Linked DNA regions of Daphnia pulex. The protein of the gene in region 2 binds, or shares a complex with, the protein of the main gene of each other region. Links are inferred from orthologs where the notes say so. Each region holds a gene or a part of one and is shown on either strand. Other genes may lie near its edges.

Region 1 (5,842 bases), on a different chromosome or scaffold from region 2:
CATCGTCCAGCCAAAACTATTGTCTGTCACCCCTTTCCAGCAGCAGCAGCAGCAGTAACGGACAACAACAACAACAAAGAACCGTTTTGACTTCCGGTCCACTTTACGCCGGCTCATCTTCGCCATCTAGCTGGAATTACCACCACCACCAGAGGTCGTCGCCAGTGTCTCCTCCACATCACCACTCTAGCCCAAGTCCCAGCAGCAGCCGAATTCCGCAACAACAACAACAACAGCAACAACAGCCGGAATCGGTTTCTTCAGTTGGAGGCGATTCACAACCGTTGAATTTGTCGCTCAAGTCGCCCTCGTCGTCGCCGGCCAGGCCAACGACGCCAGTCACGCAACACAACAACACTCACTATTTCCCCCTTCACGCCTAAAAATGATTGACGAAGAGTTTCTCTCACCGTACCTGTGGATTGTGTGTGTATGTGTGTGTGTGTGTGTGTGTTGGATGGGGTGAGGAGGAGGAGGCATGGGGGTGATGGGGCAACTATTAAGCGTAAGAGGATCCCATTTTTTGGTTGCATCGTCAGCCGTGTTTTTGATTCGATCCCTTTCAACAACTACAACAACAACAACAGCAGCAAACAACCAACACCCTTTAAAAAAAAAAATTCTTGTACAGAATAAGAAACTGTAAACTAGTTCTTCGTTATCACCAGCATCAGTGTCGATTATTCTACTCGGTCTTTATATAATTATCTATCCCCCCCCCCACACTCCCGACCGAATCTTATATATATATATATACATAGTATATACACTTGAGTTTGATGTTCTACATGATATGATCCATTTTCCTCGTTCAAATTGAAAGGAAAAACAAAAAAAAAACTCGAATCGCGGAATTTGCCTCGCTGTTAAACAGTCCCATTTCGAAATTGGCGCGCGCGCATTTCTTTTAAATTTTTCAAAAACTTTCTTTGCGGGAACATTATTTTTTCATTTGCTGTGTTTAGCCGGTGGCGTCCAAGACGCATTTTCTCTGTGCTGTATTTTTTATTTTGAATCCCGACAACAAGGAAAGAGAATGTTTGTTAAATTAAATCGCCCACTATTTCGACGAGGTTATTTCCTTCTTCGTAAAAATTTAGAGAGAAGCCCTCTATCAAGAAATTGTCCGTGTATCGTTTGTCGTCACACCTGCTCGACCTAAAAAAATTTGTTTAAAATATTTTCAATTTTTTTTTTCATTTAAAAATTAATTTCCCGTACAACTCCCGTACGAGCATGTGACGGTCGATCTCGACATGATTTTTTCTTTTTTCGTTTCATAATTTTAAATTTGTCCCCTTAAACAAACAAAAACAAAAAAAAAAAGAAAACAATTTCGTATGCTTTTGTGATTTTTACGACGGACAACCCATTTCCTGTGAACGACAGAGTGAGAGAGAGTGATGGAAGGGTTTGAAAACATTTGGGCAGGAGCTCCTTCCATGTTTACCGTGTGTGAGTGTGGCAATCGTATTGATGATTGTTTTATCCCAGTGGAAGACACACCTTTTTCTTCGTATGTTTTACACCCCCTATCTTTATATATATTATATATATATATATATATATATTATTACAACAAAAAAATCTAATAGTGTGTCAATTTTTGTGTTTCTGTCAACATTTCGGGGGTCTCTTTTTCGGATTGGTTGAGGGGAGGGCAAAAAAACAAAAACCGAGTGATGGATAAAACTTTTTTCTTTTGTCAAGTTTCCCTTTTTCTAAATTGTAACTTGTGTCCATGAGTTGCAATGCACTCGGAATTTCTGTACTTTTTTATTTCGGTTTTTGTGTTTTTCTGTGGGAATTATGGAAACAAAAGTGATTTTCTCTCTCTGTCGTTTACTTTCAAAATTCTGTTTTTCAATTGTTGCGTGTTTCGGTTTTCTATTTGCAAATTCTTTTTCTGTTGATCGAAAGAAATTGTCATCCTCCCTACCCTCCATATATAATTCTATAACGGAATGCCTGTGTAATGTGTGTGTATCTGCGGAAAAAATTTCAAAACTGTACGTGCCGTGTGTTCTCTAATGACCGGTTAATGTAGCGCATTTCACGTGCGCAATCTAGACATTACAATTATGCAAGAATGTCAAATCGAGTTTTTGTTTCATTTATTTTTATTTACAAAATGAATTCTATTATACACCCATCGTCGGTATACATTCCAACAAACGGTCAACGGTTATTTTCGAAATTTCAAAAATAAAAGTTTCAAATTTGACCGCTAGATGGCTGTCGTTGGAGCAACAACAACGATAAGGTACTTGGGTTTTCGTGACACACAAAATCAATCGCAATAAAAGGTGTTAATCGAAAGCCTCAACCAAAACAACCTTAACCCACATTGATCACTTTTGCACAACTAAATTTGTTTCCCGGTCCAAAAATCTCTCGATGGAATGGTACGAAAAAACTAGGACTCTATTGATGTACACGTAGGAGCAGCAGCACCTATTCAATGTCAAATAAAGTTATACATGTTACTATTCATTTGAAAAATTCCCCCCGATTACAAAAATAAAAACGGCACGTGTCTCGACTTTTCACCCCAGTTCCATCTGGGTAGTTAGTTACAACCAAACGGTCGTCCAGTCTGTACGGTTTAGAAAATCTTTCCTGGCCACCACCAGCTATATTATTTTTCCACTGGACTCGTGCGTTTTTGTTCAAGACCCGGTTATCTTATCTGACTAGAGAGAGTCAGTTAATAAACTACAAGCAAAAAGGCGCGGTAAAATAACTTGCAAGACGCACACAATCTACGGAGAGAGGAAATGCCAAAGGAAGGAAAACGGGCGGTGCAGCAGCAGCGGCCATTTCTCACGCTCACATCTTTGGAGAAACGCAACTCGTGTTGTTGAGAGATCCGTCTGCTGCCCAGGGTGACACGTCTACAACACACACACACCAAACGGCTGTGTGGGTAGGTTTTTGAAGGTCGTATAATAACTAACTCATTCTCCTACAACTCCCCAATTTCTCCGTATGTATCCTTTCTCTTCTTTCCACTCCTCCCCTTCCTTTTCCTTGAGGGGGTCGAAAATTACAACCCACCACCACCCGTACAACAGCAGCAGCCCAATCCCTAAGGCTTCTTTTAAAATATCTTTTCTTCCTTGGTTGGCGTGTGTATGTTGAAATGGCGTGCATAGTCGAAAAACGACTAGGGGGATAGAGTGTGTTATAAGAAACTTGTTGTCTATTCTACTTGTCGAGTTCTAATCTTGTGCCCGTCAACTTGTTGTGTTTTTTTTCGTTGCTCTTCATTTCTCCGTTTGGTCGCCAGGTTGTCGAGGTACATCGTCGAGTTGGCAAGTTTGTGAGCTGCTGCCAAGAATTTTTCAACGGCAAAAATGACAGTGTCGAAATTGTTTATTTCCTACACTTGAGCTTCACGAACAAAATTTATTTTGTTTTGTTTCAAAAAAGTGTCGGCCAAACGAAATTGTTTTGTTTTTCGTTGTTGTTGTTGTTGTTTGGCCGCATCATGGCGCCCCAAGAAGTGAAATTTATGGAGAATCGGTTGGGTGGTGTTGCACTGGTCATTGATGGATGCAAGTATCGAATCAATCGACGCTCAGGCAATACGGTTTATTGGCGGTGTTTCTATCGTTGGTGTCGGGCCAACGCCGTGGTGGAAGACGGAAAATTGAAATCGTCGTGCGGCAGTCACATTTGCTCGCAGCCGCACAACAACATCCAAAACGGCGGCGCCTCTGCCAAATCGGGACGCCACCGCCAGTCGTCGGATCATCAGCAGACGCCAACAGTCACTCAGCAGCAGACGGTTGCGGTTCATCAGCGACCGGCTACTTCTTCGTCTGTCCAGCCAGGCAGTCTCAGAGGAGCAGCTTCTCTCGCCTCAAAAATGGCCACGCGTGCAGCTCAAGGATCAACTACTCACACGTTAACACGAAATGCCAACAAGGGCAAAGTGGCACTCAGATCTCAGAAACCTCCGACCAACAATAACATGGTCATCCGAAGGAAATCCAAGGCCAATGAAGAGGATATCAAACCCACCAACGTTACAGTGCAACCGTCAACTACTACTGATTCGCCACAATGTGTTCCAGATTCGCCACCTAATAATCAGGTACGTTGATTGGAAAACGGTTTGATGTTTTGGTTGCTGATGGAATCATATTACCTATTTTTACATCATTAACGCGGGGCATTTTTTTCTTTTGGGAACAAAGAAATCCCGCGCTATTTCGTGGGAAATTTCTTTTTCACTTCCCTTTCGAAGCGGGGTTGCCATTTGAATTTTTGTTGTCAGACAAATAGTCATCCGGCTCTCGTTATTTTACGACAAAATGGTGTGATAACTAGTAATTTGGACGGAGATTGGTAATAAAGAATGTTCACCGACGATCTGTCGTTATTTCGGCCGTATATCGTTCACCGGAAAGTGGCAATGTTGTTCCAGCTGTCAACTATCTTCACGCGTGACAGTTGGGAAACAAGTGTTGACGAATCCCCCCATTTTATGTTATTTTATAATTGTTATTGATGGAAAACGTGACCACCGATACACCTGATTTTGCTATTCCCGTAACGTGATCTGGTTTCCTTAGACATCCGTTTCATACAAATTTAACATCTTGTTTATCTCCACAGAATGAAGCACCCAAGTACAAGATTTCGGCCGAATGGAAACGGCGTGTGAGATCCGAGTATATGCGAATTCGCCAGTCTCGGAGGTATAAACGAGCTGATGAGATTCGTGCTGTATGGTCCGAAAACAGAAAGAACGTTAATGGTATACATGGCATTTTCAAAGTTTGAGGTAGAACACATGTGTAATAAATCTTCCTTAATCCTTATACACAGAGAGGGTGGCTGCCAACCAAAAGAAATGGGAAGTGAGCAAAGCATTCTGGGCATGCAGCCAAGATTGGCCAGCGCACAGTCAGTGCATGAAGAAAGTCAAACCTGACCACTGCCTGGGTGTCAACACCGATCAGAAAGCAGTACCTGTTAAGATCATCAATGCAGTAGCACCTGTCCCCACCATGTATTCATGGGCTGGTCTCCAACAGAACTTTATGGTATGAAACTGAAATGTTCTTTTCCTATTGTTTTTATGGAAACTAGCATATACACATCTACAGGTGGAGGATGAAACAGTTCTACACAACATCCCTTACATGGGTGATGAAGTGTTGGACCAGGATGGTACGTTTATAGAAGAATTGATCAAGAACTACGATGGAAAAGTTCACGGAGATCGCGAAGGGGGCGTCATCGATGACGATATCTTTGTGGAACTAGTCACTGCCTTAGTCCCCTATTGTGATGAAGATGAAAGGTCTGATTTGGGTTCGAAATCCGTCAAAGCTGAGAAGCTGGACGAAGCAGCACGTGATGCCATGACAAGTATCAAAGACAAACCACCCAAGGACTCTGTCCAGCCCGTAGCGAAGGATCTACCCAACATCATTGCTTTTCAAGCAATCGCCTCTGTCTTCCTAGACAAAGGAACCCCAGAAGAATTGAGAGAAAGGTATATCCAGATAAACAAAAATACAAAGTAATGATAATAAAACAACATCTTTTCATACAGGTACATGGAATTGACGGAACGAGCTGATCCTGTCGCTCTGGGTAGCGAGTGCACTCCAAATATTGACGGCCCGAAGGCTCCCTCCGTCCAGAGGGAGCAAGCCATGCACTCATTTCACACCCTGTTTTGTCGCCGATGTTTTAAATACGACTGTTTTCTTCATCGTAAGTTTGCCTGCTTCGTTACAAGTAATATCCTTCATTAGATTTGAACGTTTCTTTACACGTTTTCTTTACTTAATTCTCACTCAACTTTCCGACGCTATCTTCTTCT
Region 2 (5,366 bases):
TTAACATAACTCTGATGCTTTAACGTGGTTAATATGGTGTATGGGTGTCTTTCGTGCAAAAGCTTATATCGTACCATGCTGGATGAATGATGATGATGAATATATTGGGTCCGATCGAATCTACAATGAATTATTGTTCAAATGAACGGAAGGCCAACAGCTAACTTAAATTGTGGAATATCTCTTTTGAAATGAGAACAGAAGTTGACTTCAATTTTGGACCATTGTTATGATAATATCTCAACCGGCATTTCCATCCATTATTACTCCTCATATTCCTCATACTCCTCATACTACACGTAATGCTCGGCGAAATATATATATATATATATTTCATTTGGTTGAAGCACTACGTTATTAGCCTTTAGTGAATGTTGTGATAGCAGAAAATTTTAATCCAATAAATACGTTATGAAGGAATGGAAAGAAATGACGGTGTTTTCAAATCATTAATTTTTCTTAGACGCAGTAAAAAATAATCCTATTAACGCTGTACAACTTCTATACTGAACTCAATTAAATTTATGGCAAAAAATACACTGTGCAATGAAAGAGAATTTTGAAGTGGTTTACTCGTCTTGCTATCTTCTAGTTCAAATATCGGTTTGATTGTCTGATGACGGAAAATATTACATTGTTTAACGGATGGCCGGAGGAGGCTTTCTTCATGATTTACTGTGAACCATTTCCTAGAGCGCCAATCGCCTTTACATTGTAACAGGTAGATCACTTTAACCTTGACAACAAAGGTGAAGCACCTTCAAATTTCCTTCCATTGTTTTGGCATCTAGCGCTAAACCACTATGAAATTAATTATGCGCAACAGAAAAAGCTTGAGAAAAAGTTAAAATCATATTGGGCATCGGAAAACCATTAAAATTTTGTGGAATTAAGCATTGATATATTTTTGAAAGCAAATATTTTTTTCTAGAAAAAATAACTGTATTCCTATAACAATATAACTGTTTTTATGCCTTACACTGCCTTACATGAAGATTTTTTCCTAGACCTACCCACAGGCATACAAATCTCTCAACACCCATGGCCTACCTAAATATTGTTTTTAATTATTACTAATTAAATTTAATTTTTAAATCAGACTTTTGAAGTAGGCAAATTCTTTTAATTTGACAACAATTTTATTATTTTCAAGATTTTTTTCTTTAAAGACATGACCATGCCATCTATGAACGGCAAAATAAACTATTGAAGTAGTTTCGACTTTTTCCAAAGTGGCACCACTGGAATTGCTTTCGTTTTTGCCGCCATTTAACAAAGCAGCACGCTCAAAAGTCTCTGCTAACCGAATCTATTGCTTGACAGGTTCCAGCCGGTTCATCATTAGTAAAGGACTTGATTGACTAACGATGGCAGATAAAGATGGAGGTATCTGTTGAAATCATTCTTTGTTATTGGATGACAGTGAAATTTAATCCAATCTTTTTTAGAGCCCTTTGATGAAGCAGTGGAAGAACGCGTCATCAACGAGGAATACAAAATTTGGAAGAAAAATACTCCATTTTTGTATGATTTGGTTATGACACATGCTCTGGAATGGCCTTCACTTACAGCTCAATGGCTTCCTGATGTTACAAGGTAAATTACTGAGAACAAAGGTGTTTTATTGTTTCTTTCTAACTGTTGAATGTTTCTTTTCTCCGTTAGGCCTGAAGGCAAAGACTACTCAGTGCATCGTCTCATCCTTGGTACTCACACTAGCGATGAACAAAATCACCTCTTGATTGCATCTGTCCAGCTTCCTAATGAGGATGCTCAGTTTGATGCTTCACATTATGACAATGATAAAGGAGGTAGTCATTTAACTTGATCAAATCTGTTGCACTATTGTTTTAATGCTTCATCTCTATCAGAGTTTGGAGGCTTTGGATCAGTGAGTGGTAAGATTGAAATTGAGATCAAGATCAACCATGAAGGAGAAGTCAACAGGGCTCGCTACATGCCCCAGAATCCTTGTGTGATTGCCACTAAAACACCTTCATCTGACGTCTTGGTCTTTGACTACACAAAACATCCTTCTCGCCCTGATCCTAGTGGAGAGTGCCACCCTGATTTACGGTGAGTCATTTTTTATTCAAATGATTTCTTATGACCTAAACTTGTTACTCACAACTACATTATCTTTTTTTAGTCTGAGAGGACACCAGAAGGAAGGTTACGGTTTGTCTTGGAATCCAAACCTTAATGGTCACTTGCTGTCAGCATCTGATGACCACACCATTTGCTTGTGGGATATTAACGCATCGCCGAGAGAGAATCGTGTTCTCGACGCCAAAACCGTATTCACTGGCCACACAGCAGTTGTAGAAGATGTCGCTTGGCACTTGCTTCACGAGTCCTTGTTTGGTTCCGTTGCCGATGATCAGAAGCTTATGATTTGGGATACTCGCAGCAATAACACCAGCCGGCCCTCCCATACCGTGGATGCTCATACGGCTGAAGTGAACTGTCTGTCATTCAATCCTTACTCCGAATTTATTTTAGCTACCGGATCTGCAGACAAAGTATTCATTTAATATTAAAATCTACTATTTATTCTACTCAACTAAACATGTCTCCAAATTGTATTTCTAGACTGTAGCTCTTTGGGATTTGAGAAATCTTAAACTCAAATTACATTCGTTCGAGTCGCACAAGGATGAAATCTTTCAAGTCCAATGGTCACCGCATAATGAGACTATTTTGGCTTCGTCTGGCACCGACCGACGCTTGCATGTCTGGGACTTGTCCAAAATTGGAGAAGAACAATCCACCGAAGATGCCGAAGATGGCCCTCCAGAATTGTTGGTAAGTTGAAATATTGATGCGATTGTTTGATTCGGATGCTGTTTAATTATTGAATTCTCAACAGTTCATTCACGGTGGTCATACGGCCAAGATCTCTGATTTCTCCTGGAACCCGAATGAGCCCTGGGTCATCTGCTCCGTCTCTGAGGATAACATCATGCAAGTTTGGCAAATGGCTGAAAATATTTACAACGACGAGGAGCCTGAGACGCCAGCCTCAGAACTGGAAACCCCTACTAATTAATGCATTTCCAGTGTATCGCCCTATACCCTATTTCTCATCGTTTGATTCTTTACTGTCCCACGTACACGCTCATCTTTTTTTTAACATTCAAATCTTCGAATTTGGCCCTTACATCGCTTGGAGATCCAAGTTTGTGTATTCAATAAATAGCTTTCCGCGATTTGGTTCAATTTGAATTATTCTAATTACTGCCGTTAATTAGGTTACTAGTCCATTTGCAGTCCATTAAGTGGGTTGTGATGAAATTTCAATAAATGGTTGAAAGACGCTCTTATTCAGAACAAAATTCGACTCTTGATCGCCTGACCCTATGACGCAATCATTAGATTTCGAAAGCTAAATAACAGTAAATTGCCTAATTCCCGACTGTTCTAATTATTCGTGATTTTGTATTTGTACATGTTCGACTGTTTTCTTTGAACTCGGATTTCTAATCTGTGATGTTTGGATTTAGAAGCCAACAGCATATCCGTCTTGACCGTGAATCAACATTGTTCGGCTCACACTGGCCCGCCAGCAAGCAGCAGGTAAACATCTATCGTCTTCAGCTGGGTGTGGGCATCATGCGGCAGTAAAAAAGTTCCTCTCCTACCCGTGAATAAGTGTAGAGGACCGATGTTATTTATTATTCAACCTTGAAAACGCAATTAAAGCGCTTGAGGTTGAGCATGACGAAGACTCCAGCAGCATCCTCAACACCGTGTTCGGCCAAGGTCCGTCTGGATGGTTGGACCCCGTATTGGGATTGAGAAAACGCCAACATTTGTTATGTTTATGGATCGCGAAATGTGAAAATCGATTCCACATTTTCATAATGTTTTTGTTTGTTTGTTTTTTTCGCTTTTTTGTCAGTTGAAATATGCCTTGCAAAAACGTGACGCATCGGTTTTTCAAGGGCAGTTACCCAAACGCCCAAAACAAAGGCGCGCAATATTTTTTTCCAATATCCGCAAACGACTGAAATAAAATTCATTGAAAATACCGGCATCGTTAATCTCTTCTGATTTTCAATTTTAAAAAATCGATTTTGTATTTTTTTGTTTCAATGAAACCTCATCATAAAATTATTTTTACGCATTGAAAAGCCACGGGTTGCTTAACTGTTAATAAAGGTATTTACCGAATTTTCCAGACAATACATTGTATAATTAATTTCGGTTTTAGTCTCTAACACGGAAATTGCGTTTCAAGTCGGTGCTGGGCCTATCGGTGCTGGTTGTCAAGTCACTTTCCTGACTGAATAGATCCATTAATCACCTAATCGAAAGAGCGCTGGCCATCGTTGAGATATGCATTTTCGGTTGGAGGAAGCCAACATCAAAGAGATGGATGATGCTTATTTTCAATCGGGGTATACAAGTAAAATAACTCACGACAGAGCTGTTTACCCGATCTTTGGCCTTGCGGGACCTTGATCGAGCGCGTTGACGCGTGGTGTTACGTACGGCTCGCGGTGCTGTACTGGGACTTGGTCTCTTAACCCCAGGGTTTAATTTCCACTTTCAAGGTTGAATCATAATAAACACGAATTTCGTTTTTTCCCTCCCCAAAAAAGCTGCATGTGGCATTCATGGATGCCCATTTCCAGCCGAATCAACCTTTCGCGCTCAGCGGGGAGGCAGCAATAACAGCTCAGCTCGACCTCCGAAGCGGGCGTGACGCGGCCACAAAGAACGAGACGGATTGCAGCAGCACGTTGAAAAATCTGTGAAGCAAGTGGCTGGACGATCGTGCCTTTCGATAGCATTCGAGAAGCAGGAATATTTTTCTTCTTCTTCTTCAGCATGCTGGAATTGATTATATCCAGCGCTATAAGAAACGAGAAGGGTAGGGTCTCGAAGAGTTGACCTGCGTGAAACAATTACGCCCCACTGAGGAGAGTCTACCACCACCACACTCGTATCTTCTCTATCCTCCCCTCCAAAAAACAAGCAGCGGGGTTCTTTGTTGGCACATCGGTTACTAACCCAGTGCTAGGAGCGTTCTTTTTTGTTATCACGTTATACAAGGTGCGCAAGGCGTGAATTTCTTGTCTTAGTGTATAAAAGATACGCGCAGCTCGTCGTTGTGGATTAGACCGCCGGTGTTTGTCATCCGAAGAACACACGCCAGGACAAAAACATCAAACATCACAATGGCAAAGAACCTTAGTGCGCTGATGCTGCTGGCTGCTGTACTGACAGTCGAAATACCGTCCTTCGTTTTGGGCCAGATTGTAATTCCCGGTGATTGTCCCAAATACCCAACGCAGCCCAGCTTTAATCCAGCTCAGGTATAATATTAATTTTGTAATTTCTACCGTGTGTTGTGGTCGTTA
Region 3 (5,839 bases), on a different chromosome or scaffold from region 2:
ACCATAGCGATGTACCAGTTGGACCACCAAGTCGTCCTCCTGTGATAAAAAAAAGGATGATGATTCAACTCAAAACTTTGACAGCATAGCATTTCTATATTCTATTCATGTCCACTTTTGGGGTGAGGTGGGCTTTGGGGGATGGGGAGAAGATAGGTGAGAAAGAGGAAAACATAAACTTGAAGGGATTTTTTTAGAGGCATCTTCTCACATATCTGTGTGAGAAGTGTGAACACGAGAATAATCCGGGCTCTTTACTTTTAAAAAGACCAATTCTGGACGTTTACAATTGAAAAGCAACTGAAAATCCGACCATTATTAGATTTGGTGGAAGGGCCAAATTCACATCACTTGAGACTATAATTTCACGTTTCTTCATTCCTCACCCAGCCGCCTTAAACCCTTGCGGCCCTTTTCTTCTTTCAATTTGGACATTCCCTGCTGTTTCACCAAGCCATAGAATTTGGTTTCCTGTTTTAAACTTTGCTCTCTCTCCCCTCTTCAAACTCCCTCCTTTCCCCCCTCTGGCATCCGGCATCCTCTCTATTTGCCGCAAGTTCCCTCCATTCTTCACGTTTTCTTTGTGATGACATCGTTTCTGCTCCATACAACACAGCATAAAACATTCAAGGTAATTATCAGGCCGTACGATCTTGAGAGGACACTTTCTTTTAATGGCAAGGTAATCGTCAAGCGGAAATGCTCGACACATGAACCGGAAATAAGGCTTTCATTGAATCAGTCACGGAATTTTCAAGAAGAAAAGAAGGAAAATAAAATAAAGACACAAACAAAGGTATAAACAAATTTTACCTCTTTGGTCCAAGGTCCCTTAACCAGCTGAGGATTGACGACTTTTGTCCATCGGTGTTGGCATTGAACGTCCGATCGATCTTCAAAGAAGGAGGCTACGTTCTCCCAAATTTCACCGGTGCGTTCCACAACTCCTTTAAGTTTTTCATCCTACAAAAAGGGCAAGAAAATCATTAACTCTACAAGACTTGGGGCTGAAAGTTGAAGGGGTAGGTAGTGGGCGGGGGAGGCAAACTCACTTCGTCCTTGGTCCATCTCCCGCGGTTCACCATTTTTCTGGCTTGGGCACCTCCTTTGGTTTTTGTAGCAACCCGGGAGGTGGCTGTTGAACTCGCTTGGTGGTGTTGGGCGCTGCTGGAGGCAGTGGCGGCGCCGTTCGGCTGATATTCACCATCTGAAATATCCGATCCAAAGTCCTCGCCATAATCCGAGCCCCAACTGTTGCTATCAGCGTCCATTCCAAAGTCGTTCATCTCGTCTACTTGGCAGGTCTAAAAAATCACACAATTTTCTGGGTTATTATTTCACGTCTTACGGTACAGGTATGCGTTGACAATGGCTCCAGTTCGCCCATTCAAATTCCTACGGTAGGGTTTTGGACAATGAATGGATTGCAAATGGAAAAGAAAGTTCTTCACGCTCTTGTGTGCACATGGTTGCAAGGGAGATTATCCGGCGACATGACTCAGAATACATTAGCTCTGTACTGTAAAAAGACCGAAGTAGAGGAATAATAGAAGAAGAAAAAAAACAGTAGACGACTGGGCTCCACTGCAAAGACGGAATATTTTCTTCCGTCTCCAAATTCACCCTCGTCGCTCTTATTCGATCTCACATTTCTTTGCCTGATAAAAGGAATGTTTCCCTATGGTGGGTGGCGCGATCTAGAACCTCGAAGAATCTCTCAAGAGAGAAAGCCAGGGGGACGGATCGATAACCGTGGGACAGGCACAAGGTCTTTCATAATCGGCCATGAGTGAAAGAAAAAGAGGAAGTCTACCACTACGACGCTGTATGCACGCCGGCATTGAACATCTGCTACAGCTGCTGCCCCTCTCTTCTGAATTCAGCCCCCCTCGCTCGATTCCAACACAATCTCCCCTCTCTCTGCAAGCAAAAAACCCTTGTGTTCCAACATAAGAGAGCAACTTTTATTTTGATGCCATCTCGACGTCCATATTTACCCCTCGTATATAAAAAAATAGACGGCGTCGCTTGTTCTGTGCTCTCTTGACCTCTTTTGCTGGGACTACACAGTGAATCAAACTTAAAGCTTGTCGATGGTACCCCCCAACTTGCCCGGAACTAAATAAAGACAATGCCGTATACGGGCGCGCCTGTGTTTAGCCATCAAGCAGCTGCTGTCACCCCCCTATACAAATCAGCCTTCACTCTAGTGGAGGGGAAACCAGGTCTAACACAATTATCGGGCAGGTGGTCAGCACCAACATGAAGCGAATTCCCTATTAAGATCAAAGTGATAGATGTGCTTTTCGGTAATAATGAAAGACCCGTGCCAGAAGGACAATGGAAAACGACGAACAAACGTAGACGTCTCGAAGAAATGCTAATGACCAATGGAGAGAGGCCCGACTTTCCATTTTTGGAAACAAAATGCTGAAACCAAAACTTGCTTCAGAAATGTTTACCAATTTCGAAGAAATTAGGAAATGAAATGGACTGTCGGAATAAGAGTTACTTTCCATTGGGGAAACGATAACTTTTGAAATTGAATTAAAGATTTCAAGATAATAAGAATCACTTCACAGAAAAAAAACCGGCTTTGTTCTTATCTCGGTTATCTTTGACTCCCAAACACCGATTTTTTTAAAGTTTTTTTTTCTACCTGCAGACAAGACAATTGAAACCATATTCTTCTATCGGTTTGGATTAAAAGAGGTAAAACTCTTTGTCCAGGCGAGACTAAGACCTTTTCAGCTCTCCTGAGAATTTAAACATAAAAAAGGGTATACCTGCTTAAGTAAAAAAATCGCCAGAAAGTCGACAACAGACTTGACTTATTTTTCTGAAATTGCAATACAACTTTTCGAAAATTTCTTTGTCCTAAGAGAAAACTAGCATCAAAAGAAAGCGAAAACTCTGTCCAGACTGGGCCAAACGCACAACTCGAAAAGTCTGCTTTGTTGCTATAATCGTCCCCACCACTTGTGGAGGGAAACAAGGCATGCTAGATAGAGATTTCACGTTTTACCTTGAGTATTGAATCGTAGTTGGCAACGGGTCGGGTAAATGAGTGATGTTTTACCTCACCATGGTGAGATGATTGTAAACAAATCCACAGAATCTCACGACACTACTGTTTCGTTTCAATTACTTAGCACTGTTTTCAGAAAGCGGACACACCGCAGCTGTATGTTTTGAGCGACTACTAGGGAATGGCGGCCATTGGAGTTCCATGAGGCGGGAAGCCTTGTTGTCAGTACCCTTCCCCTTTTTTGAAAAAAAATGGCGCCCAAGCTTGGGGATGAGGAGCGTCGCCTATTGGTTCGCATTGTTTAAGCTTTCTGATTGGCTGGCTTTACGCAATTCAAAAGTTTAATAACAGATGGCGGAGCTGATTACGATTGGCAACAGCTAAGATAAAAATAAAACTAGACAAAATATAATACTGCATCTATGCACTCGTTTTTACTTATCTTTGTATGAACTCATCTTATATTCTGCATTTGAAATTGATAAAATGTCTATTTCAATGGGTTTTTTCATCTTGAAAATGAGATTAGGTGCGATGATTTTGTTTTCTAATTTGCGCTCGCGTTAAGGAAACGCTAACATGACTAAAATCATTAAATATTAATTTCAAAAATTGTTAGGAAGTATAACTTTTCGAACAAATGGAAAGATAAGATGACTAACCGAAGTTTATTGGTATTTAGACGAGGGAAAATGTTTTCTCTCAAAAGATAAGGAAGAGGGGAATGGCAACCAGTATATAGAACCTTTGTGATAACAACAGAGTAACAAAATTTTTGGATAGCAGCAATAAGAAAAGCCACTACTTCATTGTTATACAAATATTACAAAGCCAAATCACATTTCGGTTACAGCTGTCGCATCAGCATCAGCCAAAGAAATCGCCATTTACGGATGAACGACTTGAAACCAAAGTTCCACTATACAGGGAACTCCTTGACCTGAAGATTCTCGATGTAAGATTGGGATTAGCGATGAATCCAGTTCCTCGACACATGCATTCGGCAGGGAGGTTTGTCCGGCTCCTGCTTGATATTCCACCTAGACAAAGCCGAACATGGTGGATGATTTGATATTTTAAGAGAAAAAGGTATAATCTAATTTACCGAATCTCCGTCCAAAGAAACACGTAGCCCAATCAAAGTGTGAGGCTCGAGGCTTGCGAGTTTGGCGGCCAGAGCCACTGATGCAGCTTTGGCCAAAGTTTCAGCGAAACGTGTGATGTCTCCATTATCCTCAATTCTATTAGAGGAAGAGCGTGCACTGTCCTCTATTTGAATAACAAAAAGTTCTGTCCAACGCAAAAGTCTATGACCCTCGCCTTTAAAGTCACGCGGCTGCATCACTCGAATCGATGATATCCCAGTGAAGCTTCGACCATCGATAGGAGATTGAACTCTTTATCAAACAAGCAATTGTTAATTTACAAAATTTTCAAACAATATGCATTGATAAATTACCCTAGATTAACAGGAGATGGTTCTTGATCTACCCATTTAAGTGTAACCGTTTCTTCCGGTTGATCATCGATTATTTTCCCGCATTGGATAGTGTAATTCTCCATTCGAATTAGTGCTTGTTTTAGATTACTGAGCATATCTGGAAGGAGTTGTACCATAACTCCATCTTCAACAATCGAAGAGCGACCACTTATACCACTGGAGCTTTTCAAAGCACCATTTAATACTAAGAAACTTGCTCCAGTAACTACGCAAGGGAAGAAAAAAATCAGTAATTCTTTTAATTATATTATAAAATACCGAATAACTAACCTTTTCGTGGCCGTGTGTGGATGTTAATCGCTTGAGTTTGATAAGATCCATCATCCAATTGAAGACAAACGAGATGAGCATCTGCTTGAGGACTGAACGATGCTGCAAGTGAAATGACATGATCGTTAGACTGGGCTAGTGCTTTACACACTTGCTGATAACGAGATTTCGGTAAAAGAATGTTAGTTTCTTTTTCTTCCATGTGTACAACAAGGCCGGCCACCGCCGGTAAGCTGTAGCTAAAGTTCCTCATGTCCTGGAATGGAGGGAAGAGAAAACAAACAGTTAGTAATAGAAATATTTGGAAATTGCACGAAGTAATTACAGCCAAAAGATTGACGATAGTATGCCCAACTTCGCCGAAAACTGATTTGCGTTTGCGGACGCTGAATAGCGGACAAGGATAATAGCGGAACTCCGCACCCAGCCGCAACAAAAGTCGTAATGGAAACACTTTAGCCCAAGGAATCTCCCAACGTTGTAGTAATACTGCCACAAGATAAGGAGGAGTTGGTAAAAGTAACTGCTGTACACACTGAAAACTTGTACGGAAGAACAAGAATCCACCGTGTTCCGTTGAACCTGGTAAATTACATGTATGTTACAAAATATTGGAATGAAAACAGAAAGGTAAAATAATAAAAGTTAATACCAAGAAATGTCCCAGGAGTAACTGTATGTCCAAGGTTAATAATGACGTGATGCTTGTTCATAGCTTCTTCGTAAATCGAAAACAAGTGGTAAAATATATCGGCGGGGGGTAGTAGTTCTTCTCCTACGCTTTCATCAGTTGTGGCGACTGAGTCTTGTTCCAATAGAATTACTATCTCATCTTGAGCCACCCAACGCATTCCACTAGTAGCAAATGACCAACATTTCCTTCTCACGCAACAATCAAGCTGGAGCAACTTAACTCGCACCAGCAACTGATGCCGATCGGCTCCGGGTTGACTAGACTGCATAGCAAAGACCACTGGAGGAGAAATGGGATCAACTAGCGTCTGGTGTAATTGCTCGATGGAATCGGGTCCATTAAGAAT
Region 4 (5,823 bases), on a different chromosome or scaffold from region 2:
TTCACTCCCATTAGTTGATGCCTTGTTAGAAAGATTGAAAAAAAGATTTGACATCTTTCTTAGGCAAGAGAATTTTCAGTTGTCGGCTCACTACACCCAAAATTTAAATTGATTTGGTTAGGGACAAGCGAAAAAGATACCAAACTGAAGAAACAAATCATCAGCAAGATTGAAATCCATCTAACATATTTAGACGTCTCTGATTCTACTAAGGCAACAACCCCTGATGACCCTACTGATATTTATTCTGGGTTAATGTAAAATAGCAAGGGGAATTCTATTTTCCAACAAAAAGAAGGTTGAGCTCACTCGGTTTCTTGAAGCTAAGCCAATATACAATCTTTTCTTGATTACTTCCAAAATATAAAAAACTTGTTTTGGAAATTTAATGATAGCATTGCATCTTACGCTGTAACGGAAAGATTTTTTTCTTTGTTTGGGCGTGTGTTAACTTCTACTAGAACACTTCTTAGTGATACGATTTTAATTTTCTTGTTTTTCTTAAGTCAAATATCTGTCCTTTTTCTACAATAACTTAAATTAAATAAGTCATAATAATTGGGCATCATCTGGCAAACCGACCCCTTCAAAATCCGTTTCCCCTTGTCGAGAAAAACCACCGCAAGGGGATTTCGAACAAAGACTAGAGGGGAACCCTCCCCTTGGATCGGTTTTGGATTCGAAGGGGTGGGGAAACGACTTGAAATGACCGCTGAAATGTAGGAATTGATTCAAAAGCGGATTGACTTTGAATCAATACAAATGTCTTTCATGCAACAATAAAATAAAGAAACGCGTAGTCCCATGAGGCCCGTATGATGCTGGGGCGACGGGTTTTTTGGGGGAGCAGAAGCATGACAGAAGTAGGTGCGTGGTTGGTCTCAGCAGGCCCGTGGTTAGGGTATAGGGGGACAACACTTACCAGGACGCAGCCAAACAGACGAATTTCCCGTAGGGATTCTGTAGGGGAGACCGGACCCATGTTGGACACTGTTCCAAGTTGGACAGTGTCTTAAAATATAGTAAAAATTGCTTTAAAATTCTAGATTTCACATTGTTCTAGATGTGATGATGCTAGATCCTGTGTAGTTTAATTAATTTCCCGAGAGTAGAACGGGAGTTATAGGAGGAAGAAAAAACACGATAAATTATTGCAAAATTTTTCGCCCGAATTATTGATCTTGCTCCAAGTTTGTTTGAGTAAAAAAATTTTTAAACAAATGTTTTTAAATTATTTATTATTGGAAGAACTATCATACAAGGTTTTTAAAATAATTTAAAGACATTAATTTCCACCTTTTCGAACCCCGTCTAACTTGGTACAGGCCCCTGTCTAATTTCACCCCGGCTCGGTAAAAAACACCGAAAAATGGAAATCAATGTAAATTCTTAAATTTTAAAGTTACACATTTTAAAAAAATCAAGGGGGTGGAGGCAAGGCTAAAAAATGACCTTAGCCAAAAAAAAATTCTTTTGCCTAAGGGGATCGGGAGATATGCGGGAAAAACCGCGACTGTCCAAGAGGGGTCCGGTCTCCCCTACAGGTTTTTTGGCATACGGGAGGATTAGTTCCAATTTCGCCAATAGATGGCTTCGATTACTTTTTCGACAGTAGATGGTGGGTCGGTCGAATTTCACCAATTTTAACTGCGCGCGTTGAAACTGGCATCTAGGCTCTAGCGACTAAAAGTAAACTGTCATCTGCCTCTTTCTCTTCTTCTTCTAGATTTTTTTATATCTTCCCGTCCATCGATGACTGGAAAGAGATTCAGCTCTTTTCAGACCGACCAGGAAAGAATAACATCTGTAATAGCCTACATCAGCCAAAAATTTTTATTTTTATTTTTTGTCCGCTTGGCGCAACCTAAGACTGGTGGCTTTTTCAAATCTTATTTAGAAAAGAAACCAAAACGAAGATTTCGACATTTTTCCCCCTGCCCCTTCTCGGAAGACGAATTCGACTGCGCTGCTCCTTCCGGCGAGCCCATCTCCTTATCTCTGAAAACGTCTAACGGAGTTGATAGATCGTTAGATCTCCAGCTTAATGGCTCTGGTTTCTAGTTCCATACTCCTTAGTCCCTAACCTAATCCCTAATTTCTAAATTTATTATTTACTAGAATATGTTTATTTCAAATACCTTCGTATTTGGAAATTGATAATATAAGATTTAAAAAATATAACTGCGTAATTTTTTCATTTTGAAAATCACTTGTTTCGTGTGGGTTTTCCAAAAAAATCAAATTCCAATATATTTATTAAACATTATGTTTCCCAGAAGGGTTCCGACTTCTGAAAACTGATTATTACATATTCAATCCTATCAACAACATTCATGGAAAAATTGCTTCTTGCAATTAGTTTGACGTGATACTTTACCTTGACTCCTCCACCAGGGCAACAGATAATTATCCATTACTCTGCCTCCACTTATTATCATCATTTTTATAGTTTTGTAAGGACTCGACTCGAATCGAAGGAGATTCGAGATTTTTTGAGAGCTGGCAAATATGTTTCCTCAAATTCGCGTTTGAGGCTTTGGGCTATCGTAGTTAGTTTGTAGATTTGGCAACACTGTAAATGTAAGCATTCGCATTCGACGCAGCGAAAGCAATTGATGCTGGTGTCTTTTCTTTTCAGTGTAACTGTCGAAAAGTAAAAATAATTTTAATAAAGAATTGTGATTTTCAATTTCGAAAATGACTACTCAACCAAGTCACAGCAGAAAGCGAGTTTGCTACTATTATGACAGTAAGTTAGAAAAATAATTGTATCATGTATAATTAACGTTTCATGTCGCGTGTTTGACTGCCGGCGTCCTTTTTTAAATTAATTATTTCAGTGGTCATATTCTATTTATTTTATAAATTCCCAAAGATACTTGATTTTTGCTAAATTTATATACCTATCTATTGTGACATTTTGATGTACAAAATTTATGTGGAAGTAACAATATTTGGCAAGTGGGACGTCATTTATGCACAGTAGTATCACAAAGAATTATAGATGTTTGAAGACTGAAGAGCACATAGTATTAAAAAAGAAAGATATGTGGCTATATTATCATTTAAATTGGGTTTTATTTTTGAATTGCTTCAAAATTTTATTAAGATTTTCATGTCAAATTTGTCGATGAGGTTGTCGGGGGTATAATTGACGTCCTACTTGGTGGGTGGGTTGGCATTTTTATGGTGACTTTTCATTTTAACTCTTAAATTTGTAATTCCTTTTTTTATTAACCTAGGTGACATCGGGAATTTTTATTATGGACAGGTAATAATATTGAACACATTTATGTTAATGAAACTGTAATTAATAATAAATTTTTGAAATTGAAGGGACATCCCATGAAACCTCATCGCATACGCATGACCCACAACTTGCTCTTGAATTATGGGCTATACCGTAAAATGGAAATCTATGTAAAAATTCAAGAAGCTAGATGATAATTGCCACAGTTTAATTGAATTTATTTTTTGTTAGCGACCACACAAAGCCACAGCTGAAGAAATGACCAAGTTCCACAGTGATGATTACATTCGATTTCTTCGAAGCATCAGACCTGACAATATGACAGAATACAATAAACAGATGCAGAGATGTAAGATGTGTTTACAATTTGATCAATTTGAAATTGTGAATTAATTTATTTGTTTGTTTTTTAGTTAATGTGGGTGAAGACTGTCCTGTTTTTGATGGGCTCTACGAATTTTGTCAATTATCTGCTGGAGGTTCTGTAGCTGGAGCTGTGAAGCTCAACAAGCAAGCAACTGAGATAGCTGTGAACTGGGCTGGGGGATTACATCATGCCAAAAAGTCTGAGGCATCAGGATTCTGCTATGTAAATGAATAACTTAATAACAGTTTTTGGATATAACTTACTAACTAATGTTCATCTCTTTCCATATTTTAGGTAAATGACATAGTGTTGGCAATTTTAGAGCTTCTGAAATACCACCAACGTGTTTTGTATATTGACATTGATATTCATCATGGTGATGGAGTGGAAGAAGCCTTTTACACTACTGATCGTGTAATGACTGTTTCATTTCACAAATATGGAGAATATTTTCCTGGAACTGGAGATCTCAGAGTAAGAAGTTTTGAACTAAATTTTGAATAAGAAACTGTTATTTATCCTTTTGTTGTAGGACATTGGTGCAGGCAAAGGAAAATATTATGCCGTAAATTTCCCCCTGAGAGATGGAATAGATGATGAAAGCTATGAGCAAATCTTCGTACCTATCATGTCAAAAGTGATGGAAACTTATCAGCCGAGTGCAGTGGTTCTCCAATGCGGTGCCGATAGTTTGTCTGGTGATCGTTTGGGATGCTTTAATCTTACTTTGAAAGGTATGTGTTCGGAACTATTGTTTTTAGTATACATGTTATTATCAAGTTGTCTTTAGGTCACGCAAAATGTGTTGATTTTGTTAAGAAACATAATCTGCCTTTACTGCTGCTTGGAGGTGGTGGTTACACTATTCGAAATGTTGCCCGTTGTTGGACTTACGAGACCGCAGTGGCACTGGGAAATGACATTGCAAATGAACTCCCTTACAACGATTATTTTGAATATTTTGGTCCCGATTTTAAATTGCACATTAGTCCGTCTAACATGGCAAATCAAAATACTCCGGAATATTTAGATAAAATCAAGTAAGTTTTTAGTGTTTTATTCAAAGAATTATATGTTGAGTGACATGTTTTTCTTAGAACTCGTCTTTTCGAAAACCTCCGCATGTTACCTCATGCTCCTGGAGTCCAAATGCAAGGTACTTGCATTAAATTTAATTCTTCAATTGTATTTATTATTTCATTGCATTGCGTTTAACTGATCCAAAATTATTCTGACAGCAATTCCCGAGGATGCCATTAACGAAGATTCCGACGAAGAAGATAAATCTAATCCCGATGAACGTATATCTATACGAGCATCAGATAAAAGGATTGCACCAGACAATGAATACAGTGATTCCGAAGATGAAGGGGATTCCCGCCGAGATCAAAGGTCTGAATTCATTAATAAATCGTGCAATTTTTCATTTTTTCAATCATTATTCTCTACTATATAGATCATTTAAAGGAGCAAATCGCAAAAGACCAAGAACCGAAACAGCTGAGGGTGCTGCAGAGGTCAAAAAGGAAGAAAAGGAGGACAAAGAAGTGAATGGCGAGAATAAGGAAGGTACTTCAAAAGAGACTGTAAAGGATTCGGACAAGAAAAATGAGACAACACTGAAGTCTAGTGGTGAATCTTCTAGTGAAGGTAGTGCTTTGTCCATGGCGAATGAAATAAAAGGTTAGTGTTCACGTAATCGTGGTTATCTCAGATTTCTTACCAATTATATGTATTTTCAGAACCCGAAGAAGATAAATCTACATCGCATGAATTAAGCTCCCCTGTTCCGGTTTGCGCCGATAGCAGTAAAGGAGAAAAAGTTTGAAAATACCAATTAGGGTTTTATTTCATTTTCGCTAATTTTACACTGATGGTGATTCTTCGAGATTCATTCACATCCAATTTTCTACGTGTATCTTAATTAGAATGTAAACTCCGGCTCCTATCACCAACTGCATACCCTCAATCGGGTTCTCAGTCTTCAATACATTTTTACTAAGTTTTTCATTTTAGTTTGGTCTTTTTTCTACATCCTAAGATACGCACTTCACTTATGTTGAGTGCATACTTTAAAACTGGAATACTGATTCAACAACATGTAGCGTAACAGAAGCTTTAATAGGCAAGAAGCGTTTATTTTTAAGAATGATTTTGTAGGGAGAATCAGCGATCAGTAAGCCCAACCTAGTTGGTGGAACGTTGG

Evidence for each region. The genes of interacting proteins can lie anywhere in the genome.
Region 1: chromatin assembly factor 1 p55 subunit (region 2) and histone-lysine N-methyltransferase EZH2-like share a complex: the UniProt entries of both Drosophila melanogaster proteins name them as parts of the polycomb repressive complex. The link is inferred for Daphnia pulex from reciprocal best matches to the Drosophila melanogaster genes Caf1-55 and E(z).
Region 3: chromatin assembly factor 1 p55 subunit (region 2) and myb-related protein A-like share a complex: the UniProt entries of both Drosophila melanogaster proteins name them as parts of the DREAM complex. The link is inferred for Daphnia pulex from reciprocal best matches to the Drosophila melanogaster genes Caf1-55 and Myb.
Region 4: chromatin assembly factor 1 p55 subunit (region 2) and histone deacetylase 1-like share a complex: the UniProt entries of both Drosophila melanogaster proteins name them as parts of the DREAM complex. The link is inferred for Daphnia pulex from reciprocal best matches to the Drosophila melanogaster genes Caf1-55 and HDAC1.

Annotation. Positions count from the first base shown.
Region 1 is NC_060018.1:4,495,283-4,501,124, reverse strand, and holds the start of histone-lysine N-methyltransferase EZH2-like, read left to right. Parts: upstream 1-2,576; 5' UTR 2,577-2,926; exon of another isoform or gene 2,927-3,289; 5' UTR 3,290-3,490; coding exon 3,491-4,099; intron 4,100-4,264; exon of another isoform or gene 4,265-4,515; coding exon of another isoform or gene 4,516-4,557; intron 4,558-4,620; coding exon of another isoform or gene 4,621-4,623; coding exon 4,624-4,765; intron 4,766-4,836; coding exon 4,837-5,054; intron 5,055-5,117; coding exon 5,118-5,509; intron 5,510-5,569; coding exon 5,570-5,733; intron 5,734-5,842. Other genes in the region: ecdysone-inducible protein E75-like, read left to right, coding at 1-383. UniProt on the Drosophila melanogaster protein: Polycomb group (PcG) protein. Catalytic subunit of the Esc/E(z) complex, which methylates 'Lys-9' and 'Lys-27' of histone H3, leading to transcriptional repression of the affected target gene.
Region 2 is NC_060023.1:6,454,525-6,459,890, reverse strand, and holds chromatin assembly factor 1 p55 subunit, read left to right. Parts: upstream 1-1,229; 5' UTR 1,230-1,367; coding exon 1,368-1,386; intron 1,387-1,448; coding exon 1,449-1,596; intron 1,597-1,665; coding exon 1,666-1,811; intron 1,812-1,871; coding exon 1,872-2,076; intron 2,077-2,149; coding exon 2,150-2,522; intron 2,523-2,592; coding exon 2,593-2,805; intron 2,806-2,869; coding exon 2,870-3,049; 3' UTR 3,050-3,209; downstream 3,210-5,366. Other genes in the region: apolipoprotein D-like, read left to right, coding at 5,184-5,321. UniProt on the Drosophila melanogaster protein: Core histone-binding subunit that may target chromatin assembly factors, chromatin remodeling factors and histone deacetylases to their histone substrates in a manner that is regulated by nucleosomal DNA.
Region 3 is NC_060022.1:6,348,471-6,354,309, reverse strand, and holds the start of myb-related protein A-like, read right to left. Parts: upstream 3,267-5,839; 5' UTR 3,026-3,266; intron 2,946-3,025; exon of another isoform or gene 2,787-2,945; intron 1,305-2,786; 5' UTR 1,287-1,304; coding exon 1,053-1,286; intron 964-1,052; coding exon 814-963; intron 40-813; coding exon 1-39. Other genes in the region: zinc finger FYVE domain-containing protein 9-like, read right to left, coding at 3,916-4,068, 4,134-4,425, 4,488-4,734, 4,800-5,381, 5,452-5,839. UniProt on the Drosophila melanogaster protein: DNA-binding protein that specifically recognizes the sequence 5'-YAAC[GT]G-3'. Component of the DREAM complex, a multiprotein complex that can both act as a transcription activator or repressor depending on the context.
Region 4 is NC_060024.1:1,148,451-1,154,273, forward strand, and holds histone deacetylase 1-like, read left to right. Parts: upstream 1-2,557; 5' UTR 2,558-2,697; coding exon 2,698-2,749; intron 2,750-3,242; coding exon 3,243-3,271; intron 3,272-3,336; coding exon 3,337-3,420; intron 3,421-3,481; coding exon 3,482-3,599; intron 3,600-3,663; coding exon 3,664-3,839; intron 3,840-3,911; coding exon 3,912-4,091; intron 4,092-4,149; coding exon 4,150-4,351; intron 4,352-4,407; coding exon 4,408-4,657; intron 4,658-4,714; coding exon 4,715-4,773; intron 4,774-4,855; coding exon 4,856-5,009; intron 5,010-5,073; coding exon 5,074-5,300; intron 5,301-5,359; coding exon 5,360-5,445; 3' UTR 5,446-5,627; downstream 5,628-5,823. UniProt on the Drosophila melanogaster protein: Catalyzes the deacetylation of lysine residues on the N-terminal part of the core histones (H2A, H2B, H3 and H4).